2 linked regions of the Elephas maximus indicus genome follow. The protein of the gene in region 2 interacts with the protein of the main gene of each other region in a biochemical or structural test. Links are inferred from orthologs where the notes say so. Each region holds a gene or a part of one and is shown on either strand. Other genes may lie near its edges. The genes, in order: EPN1 and REPS2.

What was found.
Region 1: the proteins of REPS2 (region 2) and EPN1 form a complex in vitro, tested with the Homo sapiens proteins (3 studies listed by BioGRID and IntAct, with this or other methods). The link is inferred for Elephas maximus indicus from reciprocal best matches to the Homo sapiens genes REPS2 and EPN1.

The regions. Positions count from the first base shown.
Region 1 is NC_064829.1:91,322,204-91,330,098, forward strand, and holds the start of EPN1 (epsin-1), read right to left. Parts: upstream 3,038-7,895; 5' UTR 2,794-3,037; intron 1-2,793. Other genes in the region: U2AF2 (splicing factor U2AF 65 kDa subunit), read right to left, coding at 4,170-4,304, 7,781-7,895. UniProt on the Homo sapiens protein: Binds to membranes enriched in phosphatidylinositol 4,5-bisphosphate (PtdIns(4,5)P2). Modifies membrane curvature and facilitates the formation of clathrin-coated invaginations. Regulates receptor-mediated endocytosis.
Region 2 is NC_064846.1:162,638,969-162,646,666, forward strand, and holds the start of REPS2 (ralBP1-associated Eps domain-containing protein 2), read right to left. Parts: upstream 3,113-7,698; 5' UTR 3,008-3,112; coding exon 2,783-3,007; intron 1-2,782. UniProt on the Homo sapiens protein: Involved in ligand-dependent receptor mediated endocytosis of the EGF and insulin receptors as part of the Ral signaling pathway. By controlling growth factor receptors endocytosis may regulate cell survival.

The sequences.
Region 1 (7,895 bases), on a different chromosome or scaffold from region 2:
GGGCAAAAAAAGGACACCCGGGATAGTGGGCCACTGAAGAGAATACAAAGCTGGGCAGCGAAAGGATGGGGGAACATCAGGGGAACCCTGCGTCCCAAAGGTGTGAGAAGCTGAAGATCCAGGCGAAGAGAGATAAGGAGTACAACAGCCCCACTGACTGGGTCCTATCTGTGTGCCAGCCCGAGAGAACATTATCTCATTTAACACATTTGTTGTCTCATTTAACACTGCTGCATACAGCATGTCAAGACTACAAATGAGGGGCCCGGGCTCGTGAAAGTTAAACAATTCAACCAAGGTCACACCCCAGGATCAGGGCAGCATAGGGATAAATACCTAGGCCCACCTCCAAAACATATACTGCTCACATTTAAATTTACTGACACTAAATTAAGAGGGCAGTGGTGGTTCAGGATTCTCACCTTCCATGCAGGAGGTGCGGGTTCAATTCCTGGTCAATACACCTCATGCATAGCTACCAGCCATCTGCCAGTGGAGGCTTGCAAGTTGCTGTGACGCTGAGGAGGCTTCAGCAGAGCTTCCAGACTAAGATGGACTAAGAAAGCCCTGGCAATATACTACTGAAACAGGCCAACATACACCCTGTGGGTCACAACAGTCTGATCTCATGTGTGTGGGGTCGCCATGAGCCAAGGGCCAGCTCGACATCAGCTGACAACAACATTAAACTAACCTGGGCTGAGATGAGTGCCACAAGAACAAAAGGAAGGGAATCAAACAAATGATAATGATGATAATGTCGCTGTCGTGTGTCATCGAGCTGATTACAACTCAGAGTGACCCTACAGGAGAGAACAGAACTGCCCCATAAGGTTTCCAAGACTATAAAACTTTATGGAAGCAGACTGCCACATTTTTCTCCTGCAGAGCCTAGTGGATTTGAACTGCTGACCTTTCAGTTAGCAGCCAAGTTTTTAATCACGCGCCACTAGGACTCCTTATGATGATGACACTAAGCACTTACGTGGTTCTTACCTTGTTCCAGGCATTTTCCTAAGTGCTTTATACACACTAACCCAGGTAATCCTTCCAACAAGCCCAGGATTCAGAGCCACTTACAGGGGAGGACAGAGAGAGGAAACGCCCTTTCCCAGGGGCACACAAGTCATCCCCACGAACCTGGATCCCGAGCAGGCTCTGAGCAGCTACTGATGGACAGGTGCTGAGCCCCACAACAACGTAAGTCCCCAGGGCCATGGGGATGAATAAAACAGGCTGGCCCTTGCCTTTGAACTCAGGCCAGAGAGCCAGGCACTCGGAGATAGATGTAAATAGTTGACAAGAGACAGCCAGGGCCCAAGACAGCCAGACACATGAAGACTAAGAGAAAAAGTGACAAAGGCAGATTAGGGGATGACAGAACAGAAACTGAGAGAGACAAGCAGAGAGCGGGAGTCCCGCAGACACAATGAGATGAGCAAAGACACAACAAGAAACAGGGAAAGACAATGAGTGACGCAGGCAGGGAAATGAGAAAAAACAGGCCCTAGAACAGAAACAGGCAGTGACTTGGGACAGAGAAGGCCCAAGAAAATTAGGATATAATGGAAAGTGTGTGGAATTTAGATCCAAATTTTGGCACATAAGCTATAGCAGAGCAGCCTCCTCGAGAGGGAGTTTGTTCAACTCCATAATGAGGAAAAGAATCTCTACCTGGCAGACTAGTTGATTAAATACTATGGGTACATAAAGTGCTTGGCTCCAGGCCCCACAGATAGGAGGCGCTCAATAATGCTGGTTGCTATTATTATCAGAGAAAAAAACAAAAAACCTTTCCAGAAGGGTGGCATCCGAAGATGCATTAACAGCGTGTATTTATCTAAAGCGCGTCCGGAAAAGCACACATCTCGTGCATCAAAGCTAAGATTTTAGATCTTGCTTAGAATGAGGCTTGGTCTTTCAAATTTAAGCTGATTCGAAGAAAAATATCAGGGGCAGTACGGGCAAATACAATATAACAGAAACTACTAAGGCATACTAAATGGAACAGAAAATCTACACAAGCTTCCAGTTAATTACACACTGTCTACCTGCCAGGCAGTGTTCTAGGTGCTTCACAAGCACCGCCTCAACTAACATGCACAGGGACCCTATCATGTGGGAGCTACTGTTACTCCCATTTCAAAGACTAGGAAACTGAGGTTTACGGATAAAAGAAAACACCTGTCAAAATACCATCAACTAGCAAGCAGTAGGGTCTCAGATTCCAGAGTCGGGGATCTTAACCACCACATTCCAGTCTCAGGAAACTAGGTGGGAATGGGGAGAGTCAGATCCTAGCTAGACTCGTGGACGGGGACTTTGGGACTGGAAGTGGTGGTACAGGGGGCAAAAGTGAGAAGTGAAGACAGGAAGAGAAAGAGAAGCCCTAGAGGCAAGAGGATCTAGAGGAGGGCTGGGGACACCTGGGGAGCTGAAGTCACGGAAACTCCCAGAGAGAAATATTGGCAGTCACACAGAGATAAGACAGACACACAGGGACGTCAAGAACACCAAAGCCGACACAGAGACCGACCACCACGGAAGCACACACTGAAGCCGAGAAAAGAGGCAGACGGTGACAGACAGGAGATCAGGCCGGCCGAGGAGAAGACGAAAAGACAAACACAGGGACCCGGACGCGGAGACGCAAAGGCGGCAGAGACGACCAGACCCGAGAACGGACAGCCAGCCTGTCCCGAGGCCCGGCGAAGTCCGCGCGCCGCCGCCCAGGCCCGGGCCGCGGCGCCTGCCGCCTCCCAAGCTGACCCCGCGCCCCGAGCCCGCGCTCACCTCGGCCCCTCACGACGGGCTCCGGGGGGTCATGACGGTCAGCCCCCCTGCCCCCGCTTGGCTTCGGTGTCGCGGGGCGCGCGGCGGGCGACGCAGGCGGAGGCGCGCTCGGACGCACGCGCGGACGCTCCGGAGACCGCACGCCGACCGCCCCGCCGCCCCGGCGCCCGGGAGGGGGCGCGGAGAGCCGGGCCAGGGGAGCGGAGCCGCTCAATAGTCGGGAAGCAACCGAAGGTGACGGACCGGAAGCGGAAATGGCCGCGTCACCCGCCCTCGACGCGCCTGCGCAGTCGCTGCTACCCGCGTACAATCCGCACTTCCTCTGCGCGGCCTCTTGCGCCCGTCGCTAGGCGCAGCTGACCTCACTTCCGCTCGCCGCTGCGGCCGCGAGGTGGGGTGCACGGGCCTCGCGGACTGTGGAGCCGGTTACGCCCCGCAGACTCAAGTTGGCGTCCGAGAGGGGGCTGAGTGCGCCCCCGCTTGTCCTAGCCCCACAGCCACGCCCCGCCGCCAGGTGCCATTAGGCCTCGACCTCACGAGGCCGCCCGCTGCCCCGCGGGGCCCCAAGGCCAGTCCGCGGCACGCTTGCATGCTCACTGCTCTCTGAGACACGCTCTATACCCGACGCTTTACAGACAGGTACGGGCTAGGGATCATGGGTCAGGGACAGCTTGCTCCCGTCCCCCGCAGGAATCCCCGGCAAGCACCCCAGTTTGCCAAGAGGAACCCCCCTGAAAAGGGTTAGACAGACCAGACACAGAGCAGCTCCATAAGTAAAATACAACAAAATGTTTAATGAGCAAATTCGTCTTAGCAAATATGAAACTGCCACAGAGAGTAGGAGGGGGATAGGGGCCACAGGGTTGGGAACAGGTCTGGCTAAGACTAAAGAGGAGAGAATCAACTACATAAGAAACCAGGGAGCGACCAGAAAGGGCCAGAGGCCAAGAGGGCAGGAACTGTGGTCCTGGAAAGGGGCTGGACACTGGGGGCCGGACAACAAAATTCAAAAGTTTGGCCATAAAATATAAACACGCTATGTTCCTACCAAGGGGAAGAGGAGGGGAAGGTACAAGGGAGGAAGAGAGGCTTTGTGGGGAGGGGCGTGGGGGTCCTAACCCGCCCTGTGTGCACCCATCCCCATCCCAATCCTGCCCTCTGTGTCTTCGGGCGCGTGTGTCTGTGGGCGCTGGGCGCATGTGTACACTTCCCCATCCCCCCGCCCCCACCCCACCCCAATCGCTGCCATTCCAGTTGCTGCCGGCTGTCACTCGGCTGTCACTCCTCTGCCCATCGTCTTCAGAGGGGGAAAAGAGGGGGGCGGGAAGGGAGGAAGCCCCCCTGCCAGCCCTGGCCCTGCCTTCCCCCGGCCGCCTCTACCAGAAGTCCCGGCGGTGGTAAGAGTCGGGGTCACAGTATTTTGTGACAACCACTCTGTTGGCGAACTTGCGGCCCGTCAGGCCCTGCATGGCTTTCTGGCAGTCAAACACGGAGGTGAACTCCACAAAGATCTGTGGAAACAACAGGCAGGTATGAAGGCCAGACAGAAGAACAGGTGGGCACACTCCTAGCAACCCACAAGAACACAAACCCAGCACTCAGGACAGAGGGCTCAGCAGGAAGAAGGGCCTGCACAGAGGCGGCCTTGGTGCAGGTGTGGGGCGTTTACTCCAAGTTCCTTCAGAGCCCCCAGGAACAAGAGACTGCACAGCAGAGGCATCAGTGAGAGAACAGCCACACAAGGGACACACCAGCTCCCAGAGGCCGAGAGCAACAGCGCTGAGGTCTACTCTGCATAGACACTGGGAGGCACTCCCCAAGTGACTCCCAGGGCCAGGTTCTCCCTCAGACAACAGATAGAGGAAGGGACGCTCAGAAATTAGGAACAATAACCTTCAGAGCCAGAGTGGAAGGAGAGCTAAGACAGAAGAGAAAGCCACGTTAAAAAACTAAACTGCCTGATCTACTAACGCTTCTAACACCAGTTTACAGGAAACTGGAGGGGCAGGCGGAGGGATACGATACAATGGGCTTAATCCAAAACATGGAACGTTCTGTAGGACAAATGGAAACCCTGAAGGCATAATGGTTAAGAGCTACGGCTGCTAACCAAAAAGTCAGCAGTTCAGATCCACCACCAGGCGCTCCTCGGAATCCCTATGGGACAGTTCTACTCTCTCCTATAGGGTCGCTATGAGTCAGAACTGACTCGATGGCAATGGGATGGATAGGACAAATGACCCCGTTTCCTCAACAAATAAAACTGCTTGACCAAAAAAAAAAGGGGGGCGGCGGGTAGAACTGGTAGAAATTAGGAGAAACTGTAACCAAGTATAAGGTGAGGCCCTTGTTTGGATCTCTGCAGAAACAAATTAGCTGTAAAAACACATTAGACAGGGACATGAACATGGAATGACTAAATACTAAGGAATCCATGTTAATGTTGTTCAAATAAATGGTGTCATGGTTTCATTAAAATAAGCAGTGTTTCTCAGCCTGGGCTAATATTGTCCCCCAGGATGGGACACTAGGCAGTTACAACTGGGGGCAGGGGTGCTATTGGCTTCTACTGTGCAGAGGCCAGGGCCACTGTTCACCATCCTGAAATGTGCAGCATGTTCCCACCACAGAGAATGAGCCCACCTGAAATGTCACTAGTTGAGAAATTAACCTACTGAAGTATTTCAAGTAACGGTAGGTACAATACTGTCATATTTTCTCTCTACTTTTATGCATGTTTGAAAAGGTCCACAATAAAGTTTCAAAACAGCAGGGGGCAAGATGTAGTTACTGCTTATGTAGAAATGAGTTGCAGTTTAGAGAGATGGAAAAAGCACACTGATTAAGGGAAGGGATAATTACGAAGCCAATTAATGTAGTTTTTGTCAAGTTACATAACTGTAAGAAGTTGAGCTGGCGAAATTGTGATATATTTACAATGACAAGAGAAAAGACAAAAATTGGCTGCTGAAGCTGCTTATATATTCAACGAACCACCTCAAGGAATTTGGTTCCTGGGTTTAGTGGTTTAGGGTCATGGTTTCATGAGACATCCCAGTTATTTGCCCTATAAATGTTATTTTCTGCCTCCTAGCTCACTGCATAATGCCCGGGGTCTTAAAAGCTTGCCAGCAACCATCCAAGGCACAACTGGTCTCTATTCTCTTGGAGCAAAAGAGGTAAAAAGAAAAGTCAGGAATAGGAGGCATAAATGCAATGTGTAGCTACTTGCTTCCATGAACAACTGCCTCCCTTGCCAGTTACAATTCAGTGACTTCTCAGAAGTGCTGCAGAGTTCTGGGCTACTATCAGTGAACATTTTGACCAAAGATTCCATAAAAGAATCCTAATCAGAAAGGTGAAAATGCAGAACAGAATGTCAAATTCTCAGGGACTACAGATTTTCTGGTGCAACGGAGGGTGGATGAATCCCTGAAAACTACTGCCCTGAGGCAAACTATCAACCTTAAACCTAAAATCATCTTAAAACCAAACAACAATTTAGCTTAACTAGTTAAAAAAAAAAAAAGTCTGCCTTGAGAATTATGCTCTTTTAACAACTATCTGTATCTTTAACCATCTGTATCTGATCAAAGTGGCAACTGCAACTCAAAAGATTAGATAGGAACCTTAGGGGACAGTGAATTTATGTTAATGGGAGAGGAACAACTCTCCCATTAACATGGGTGAGAATGGTTGCACAACCCAAAGAATGTAATCACTGAACTTTAAGTGTAGGAACAGTTGAATTGGTGTATGTTTTGCCATGTATATTCTCAACAACAGAATTAATTTAAAATAGTAACAGGAAATGCAGTACCAATGAAGACAAGAAGAAAAGGCTAAAATTTTAAAAATCTACATGGGATCAAATTGACAACTTGAAAGATAGGAAACTTAGGGGGCAGTGAGTTCACATTAATGGGGGAACTCAGAAGAGGGTGAGAATGCTGCACAAGAATGTAATCAACACCACTGAACTGTACATGTAAAAATTGTTAAACTGGTATATGTTCTGCTATACATATTCTCAACAACACAAATTATATTTAAACAAAACAGGTTGGCAATGCCAGAGCCTGGGGTTCTTCCTTTCCTGCTTCCCACCAGTGCTCGCTCAGCCCCTACTTTGAGCCAGGCTCCATTCTAGACACCAGACCACAACCTGGAGCAGCCCTGACAAGAACCCTCCAGGACTCCGGCCATTTATACCACACCCAGTGAGAAGGGGGCAAGAAAGCAGCCGAAAGAGGCTACTATCTTCCTCCTCCATGAGTGCACAGAGCCGGGACAATGGGACTCCGGGGGCTCCACCCATGCCTGTGTGGCCTGTGACCTCTCTGTACCCACACCTCCTCCTGTAGCAGGGACTGGCTGCAACCCCAGACAGATCAGGGAGCACTGCTGTGAGAACAGTCACATATGCAATATGCACAGCTCAGGCAGGGCAACGAGCACAGAGTGGACACCAGTGAGTTTGCAGCTTCTAAAACTTCACAAAGCACCCAAGGTTCAGAGAAGTGTCACCTACACAAGATGACGTAAAGCAGCAGCAGCAGAGCCAGGTTCTGCACCAAGGTGACCTCTATACAGAGTCCAAGGTTCATGGCCACAACGCTGTATGCCCAACTGCCTGCTAACATGGCTATCCACCAAGGGGGCCCCAGTGGGCCACACACCTCTCAGCTCCCCAGAATCTCCCTGGAGCCATGCCCAGAGGGGGCACTCAGTAGTGATGGTGGTGGGGGGTGTGTGTGTGAGACACACATGTGGGGAGATGCATGCCCAAACGAAGGCACACATGAGGACACACACATGGGCACAGGGACGGGTACACAGAGGAACACGTGCTCGTGAGGTACAGATACACATATGGGAACACACACACACACTAGGGGACACACACAGGTAGACCCATGAGGACACGCACACACGGAGCAACAGGCACACACAAGGACATGCATGCCAAGCCCCTGGCTGCCCTGACCTTTCCACAGCCGGGCACCTCAACGCCGTCCACGGGCCGAGGAATCTCAATGGACTTGACAAGCCCATACTTGCTGCACTCGTCACGCACATCCTCCACAATCTCCTCATACTCC
Region 2 (7,698 bases):
ACAAAGTAGGAGAAAAGTGGGGTGCAGAACTCAAATTCATCTAAAAAGACCAGACTTAATGGCCTGACTGAGACTGGAAGAGCCCAAGAAGATACAGTCCCCGGACTCTCTGTTAACCCAGAACTAAAACCACTCCCAAAGCCAACTCTTCACAGATTAGACTATAAGACATTAATGATACTTGTGAAGAGTGTGCTTCTTAGCTCAAGTAGATACATGAGACTAAATGAGCAGCTCCTGTCCAGAGACGAGGTGAGAAGGCAGAAAGGGATAGGAGCTAGGTGAATGGACACGAGAAATCTGGGGTGAAAGAGGGAGTGTACTGTCACATTACAGGGATGGCAACTAGGGTCACATAACAATGTGTATAAAATTTTTATATGAGAAGCTAACTTGAGCTGTAAACTTTCACCTAAAGCACAATAAAATCAAATTTTTTAAGAAGAATATAATCCCATTTATGCAAAGGCACTCTGCCTTGGGTTCTTTTAAAATCACATATGCCTCAAAGGAGCATGGGTTCTAATACCAAGAAAGCCCCCTCCCTGACTGCTGAAGAGTCAACAGCACATTCACACTGAATTTGCCCACCTCCTCTCAACACAGTGTACTGCCACTGCCATCCAGTCATTCCGACTCATAGAAACCCTACAGGACAGAGTAGAACTGCCCCGTCGGGTTTCCAAGACCGTAAATCTCCACAGAAGCAGACTGGCACATCTTCCTCCTGAGGAGCGGCTGGTGGGTTCAAACGGCCGACCTTTTGGTTCATAGCTGAACGCTTTAACCACTGCGCCACAGGGGCTCTTCGCTCAACGTAGTACTGACAACACAATACGCCTGAACAGGTTCCCAGCTGCAACTGACTGGCTGTGTGATCTCAGTCACTTATTCCTCTTTCAGCTGGGAAGTAGCTACCAGTAAAAAAACCCGTTGCCCTTGAGTCAATCCAATTCATGGCGAGCCCATGTGCTTCAAAGTAGAGCTGCCCTCCCCAGGGTTTTCATAGCTGTGACCTTTCAGAAGCAGACTGCCAGGTCTTTCTTCCAAGACACCTCAGGGAGGATCTGAACTGCCAACCTCTCTGTTAGCAGCCGAGTGTGTTAATCTTGTGTACCACCCAGGAACTTCATGGCAGTAGCTATGGCCTTTAATAAATACGTTGTGCTTGAGAGTATCCTCAGGGCCTCACGTAACAGCCATGGTTTATGTTTTAAGACACGACTTTCCCTCCGAAGGCTTCAGAGTGACTTACAGACACTGCTTCAATGTCCATGAAAACCATGCTATCATTTTACAGATGCATACACCGAGGCGCTCCAACTCAACTGCTAAACAGCAGTAGCAGAACTGTCTACATATTGTGGACTTCTTTGGGTACAAACAGCCATGCTAACATCTGTGAATACTAACACCATCTTCAGAAATCCTAACTTCTAAAAGGTGGAGAGGTGCCCTGGTGGTGCAATGGTTAAGCACTTGACTGCTAACCAAAAGGTCTGCAGCTGCAAAGGCTCCGCAGGACAAAAGATCCGGCGATGTGCGTAAAGATTTCATCCTAGGTAAAACCCTACAGGGCAGTTCTACTCCGTCCTATAGACTTACTAAGAGTCGAAATCGACTTGAAGGCACTCAACAACAAGACACTCACAAACATAAGGGCATAAGCACACTCCAACAGCAAAAAACACAGTCGTAAATGAATAGAAAATACCTACAAATAGTGATATTGAAAATGAACCACAAAACCCTCAATACTCCTTTGGAACCAGACTTTAAAATATCAATCACCACTCTAAATATTCTATTGGTGTCAATAACTGTAAAACTGAGAATTGATTTTAAGAAAAGCTTCATTTCCCATTCTGTGCCTGGTATTAAGAATCTTATCACCATGAAGTGCTGGCGGCATCCAAAGGCAAAGTGCGTATCAAGTAGTCTTTCTCCAAGGAAAGCATAAAACGGCATCTGCTGTGGCTCAATCCCCGCCCCCCACCCGCTTTTCCAGGTTGGGGGTGGCGAAAAGGAGGGAGCTATAACACTCGTTTCCTTCCAATTCTATTTCAAGTTCAAGTAATGCTAAGATCGGAAGCTACAGCTGCTCTCCACAGTGTACGTCTGGGATACACCTCCAGCTCCAAAATGGCAAGCTTGGCTTTGACTTGATAGAAGTTGTCTCGCAGCCCTGTGTTCCTGCTCTGAAACTTGTCTTTAAGGTTTTCCAGCTTAATACTAATACTAATACTAAGAAATAGGTGAGTGGACAAATACATCTAGTAGCTATGTGTATGCCGTACAAGTATACAGAGGACAACATTTAGTCCTGGGCCCCCAGCCCTACAGGCACATACCTCCTTCAAGTTCAAATCCCAGCAAGGCACCCTGAGCACCCCCACTCCCTTCCCATCCGCCTAGGGGAGGGAGGGGCAGGAGAGAAGAGCAGAGGTTAACCCAGACACCAGCCAAAACAAACACCACTTCCAGAACAGGGCAAACTTTGAGTCTGGGTGGCTGCAGAGCCCAGAAATGGCCAGGGGGTGGGGGGAGTGTCAGCCCGTCTCCAGGAAGGAAAACCTACAGCGCACCCAGCCTTGTGAAGGGGCTGAGCTGTGGAGGAGCTAGGTGTCCCCGGGGGTCAAGGGCGTCGTCGCCGCCATCCCCGGCTGCGGAGCCCCATCTCTGCTACCTGGCCGAGGCCTCCGGGCCCCTGGCCGCCCCGCCCCCACGTTCCTGCAGACACGGTCCCCACCGACGCGCAGGAGCAGGGGCCGCAGGGTCCTACCTGGTGCAGCGTCTCGGCGGGCAGCTGCGACGCCCGGAACAGGTCGGCCACCGGGCCAGCAGCAGCCGTGGCTGCGCCGGGGACAGCGCGGGCGGCCTCGGGGGGTCCGGAGGGGCCCCCGCCCGCGGCTCCGGCGCAGCGCGCGAACAGCTCGGAGTAGCACTGCTGCTCGGCGTCGCTCAGCAGCAGCGGCGGCCCCGAGCCGCCCCCGCCGGCTACCTCCATGGCCTGCACGACCCGCACCGCCGAGCCGGCTGGGGCCTCGCCACCGCCCCCACGCCCTGCAGCTGCCGCCGCGCCGCCGCTTCCTCCGGCGAGCGCCCCGCCCCCGGCTTGAATGTTGTGCCTCCGCCGCGCGGCACATGGAGACAGGCCCGTGCCGGCCAATCGCCGCCCGGGGGCGCCCGCACCCGCCCCGCCCCGCCGCGCCCCGCCCCGCCCCGCCCGCGCCAGGTAGCTAACTGGCGCGCTGCCCGCCCCCTGCCCCTCACCTGCTGGGCCTGCGCCGGGGGCTCAGCGCCGCGCCCAGCTGCGCAGGAGCGCCGTCTTGATCGCTCCGCCCTAGCTGGAAAGAGGGCCGTCTGGACCCACCTGGAGAAGGACGAGTTCAGGGACGCAGAAGGCCGTGCTTTCTCCCTAGGAGGGTGGAGCAGGTGTGGTGCCCACGCCGCGCCAGGCCCTTCCCAGAAAAGGGATGTGGCATGGGAAAGTTGATTTCCTTCTTTCCATATCAGCACTGCTTATGTCCTGAAAAGCTGCAGGACAGGGATCCCCATCCGAACGAGGTCGCAGTGGCTCCCCATAGCAGTGACTCCCCATAGCGTTCGGGGTGGCAACTGGGTTAAGCCACTTTCTCAAGAATGCTTCAAACCTGAGCTTGAGCCTTAACAAGGAATAACATAGGATGGTGTTAAATATTTAGTGTTAAATATTAGAGTAATAGGAGCAAAAAAGTGAAACGCTCCGCAAGAGGAAAACCTGGCAATCGGCTCATAAAGATTACAGCCAAGAAAACCCTATGGGGCAGTTCCACTCTGTCACATGGGGTCGCTATAAATTGAAATCGACTGGAGGGCACCTAACAACAACAACAGAAACAAAAAGGTCCTTTTGGGAGATCATTTTGTCCAACTCCTTCTTTTACAGATGAGGAAACAGTGCTATTTGATTTGCACCTTCATTCATCCAACACTGGTTGAATATCTACTGTGTAACAAGGAGCTCTGGTAGAGCAGTGGTTAAGCGCTCAGCTGCTAATTGAAAGGTCTGTGGTTGGAACCCACCAGCCGCTCTGTGGGGAGAAAGATGTGGCAGTCTGCTCCAGTAAAGATTACAGCCTTGGAACCCTATGAGGCAGTCCTACTCTGTGCTAAAGGGTTGCTATGAGTTGGAATCAATTAGATGGCAACGGGTAAAAGGTTTATCCTCTAAACCAAAAACCAAACCCAATCAATTGCTGTGGAGTTGATTCCGACTCATAGCAGCCATATAGGACAGAGTAGAACTACCCCATAGAGGTTCCAAGGAGCGCCTGGTGGATTCAAACTGCTGACCTTTTGGGTAGCAGCCGTAGCTCTTAACCACTATGTCACCAGGGTTTCTGGTGTATCCTCTAGGGCCTGAAAATACAGGCCTCAGTAAGAGGGGGTTGGTGCCCCCCAAAGGGAATGTTTCTTTAGGTGGGAAAACAGTCATGTTTTTTTAAAAGGCTGCAAGACTTGTACAAGTTCACACCAAAGTCAACACTAGAACCTACATCTTTAGACCCCTGCCCATGTGACCCTCCATTTCTCTCCATTCTAAAGTGTGCACACTATATTTTTCAAATCTGCTTGCTCCATCGTCAGTTCCCTTGACTATTGCTCTAGCCACTTTTAAGAGAAAGACTTGAAAAGACTCCACTGGAAGGAAAATGTTTACCCCACCACTGACTGCACTGGCAATTCCATCATCAGGCCTGCATATTTGCATCTCTTTTCCTTTTTTAGCACACTCGGCTGCTAACAGAGAGTTTGGCAGTTCAGATCCTCCCTGAGGCGTCTTGGAAGAAAGACCTGGTAGTCTGCTTCTGAAAGGTCACAGCTATGAAAACCCTGGGGAGGGCAACTCTACTTTGAAGCACATGGGATCGCCATGAATTGGATTGACTCAAGGGCAACGGGTTTTTTTACTGGTAGCTACTTCCCAGCTGAAAGAGGAATAAGTGACTGAGGTCACACGGCCAGTCAGTGGCAGCTCTTGAAATGTCAATATTCCTGAGAAGGATGGCAGAATTATATTCATTAAGCCTAGCTGGGAAATACTAACCAAAGGGGAAAAAGAAATCAGTCCAGGGTGAAGCACCAATAAAAAAAAAAAATTCCATTTTAGAAATTGCTTTAATAAAGAGATATATAAAACTTTTGCCCCAATAGTTTTAATTAAAAACAGTTAACGGGAGAAACAACTCAGAAAAGGAGGGTGAGCATCGTTGCACGACTCAAAGAATGTAATCAATGTCACTGAATTGTACATGTAGAAACTTAAGTTGGTGTATTTTTTGCTGGGTGTATTCTCAATAACAACAACAAAATAAATTATTTGTATAAATAAATTAAGAACAGAAAAAGACATCTCAAGAAATACCACTGATGATAATAAATATACCTTGGTATTATGGCCAACTAAAATAAGGATCAAGGACAGAAAAAGATAAGAAGGAAAAATAATCAGGAGATGATCAAGATGAAAAAAAAAGGGATAGAGGAAGAGCAATACATAAGAAGGAAAAGGAAAAATGTCAACTTCATAAGGATGGCCAGAGCAATGTGTCTCTTTCGCAATCTGAAGAAAGATTCAGATCTCCCAGAAGAGAATTAAGATATCAATAGGCTTGGGAACAAGGGTACAGAAAGGGTAGGTAAGTTCCAAGCAGTGAAGACTAACTTAGCTTAGGAATTTCCGTTTCGAAATCTCACCACCTTTGTATTTTCCACTACTGTAATACCTTCCCATATCACCAAAATTTAAAATATAACTCAAATAGTCAACATCATCCTAGCTCCTTAAGCATCTACACTGGAGTCAGGAAAAGTAGAAGCCAAGAGATAATGCTATTCTCTTCTTACCTTTCTAGTCCACCACCCATCTGTCAGTTTTGATGACTAAGGTGCATCTGACCCAAGCCATTGTCTTTTCAAACACTTCATATGTATGCGAAAGTTGGATAATGAAAACAGAAGACAGAAAAAGAACTGATATGTTCCAACTGTGGTGTTGGCGAAGAATACTGAATATACCATGGGCTGCCAAAAGAATGAACAAATCAGTCTTAGAAGAAATACAATCAGAATGTTCCTTAGAAGTGAGGATGGTGAGACTTCAACTCGCTTATTTTGGACCCATCATCAGGAAAGACCAATTGCTATAAAAGGATATCTCGTTCGGTAAAGTAGAGGATCAGTGAAAACAAGGGAAACCATCAGTGAGATGGATAGAAGTGACAGCCGCAATAATGGCCTCAAACATCTCAAAGATCATGGAGATGGCATAAGACCAGGCAATGTTTCGTTCTGTTATACATAAGGTCATCATAAGTATCAGCCATCTAGACAGCAACTAAAAAAACAACCTTTCCAGTTGTTCTCAGGCTTCCCTGAGAGTGGCACACCATTCGAACAAAGGTTGCAAAGGGACCCCCCCTCTCCATGATAAACACCAAACCCTACTTTCCCCTGTGACTCATGGCAAAGGAAATGTGAGATACAAGAATATTTATAGTTCATATAGTGATTGGTGACTTTTCAAAGCACTTTCATACACATTATTCATTTAAGTCTCACAATAACTCTCTGAGGTAGGCTGAAGACACTTTTATCTCCATTTTGCAGATGAAAAAATGGATGCAGAGTTGATATGATTTGCCCAGCTGAATACCCAGTTCAAAGCTGATCTTCTTCATTACTCAACTCAGTTTAATAAATCTGACAGATACTTATTAAGCTGCAGATACTGCAGAGATAGGTCAAGAGTCTCCCATCTGTACCTATCAATCCATCACTCAGACAACATGTATTGGTGGAACAGGAAGCATTTACCATGGCCCTACTAGAGTACTGTGATACACATACACATTCACACAAAATGTGTTCTTTCAAGGAGTATGCAGCCCTCGTGAAAAAGAGGAAACAAAAACAAACAATAAAAGACAATATATAATTAAGTGCTAAATTGTGCACCCCAGGCTAAGTGCTGTGGGAGTTTAGAGAAGAGAAAAATCCCTGAGCTAGAGCCCAACCAGGAAGGCTTGATGAAGGGGCTGGTGATAAATGGGTGGGGTTGGGGAAGAGAAAGGACAGGACAGAGAGGTAGCATCACAGGAGAAGGAGGAGCCAAGGAAGCGAGGACTAGAGGGACAGCAGTCCTGGTGGTGCAAACGGTTAGGCGCTCAGATGCTAACTGAAAGGTTGGTGGTTCAAACCCACCTAGCGGATCCACAGGAAAAAGACCTGGCAGTCTGCTCCCCGAAAGATTACAACCAAGAAAACCTTACTAATCTGTTATATGGATACGGCGTGGCGATGAGTTGCAATCAAGTCAACAGGCACCCAACAACAACAATAATACTGGGTAAGGAAAGACAGGCAGCCCTGAAGGGCTCTGAGAAGCAGAGTGAAGGCTGTTCGCTCGAGGATGTGAAGCGATCAAGCAGCAGTGATTTAGCATGTGTGTTTTTATAAACTTGCTTTTAAAAAAATGTTTCATTTCTTAGAGCAGTTTTAGGTGTGCAGAAAGTACAGAATGTCCTTAGGCCCCCCTCTTCCCCTCACACTGTTTCTCCTATTGTTTACATGGTGCATCCCTGTGGTCCATTTGTTACAATGGAGGAATCACTATGATACATTAGTATTAACTGAACTTAGGGTTCACTCTGCCTT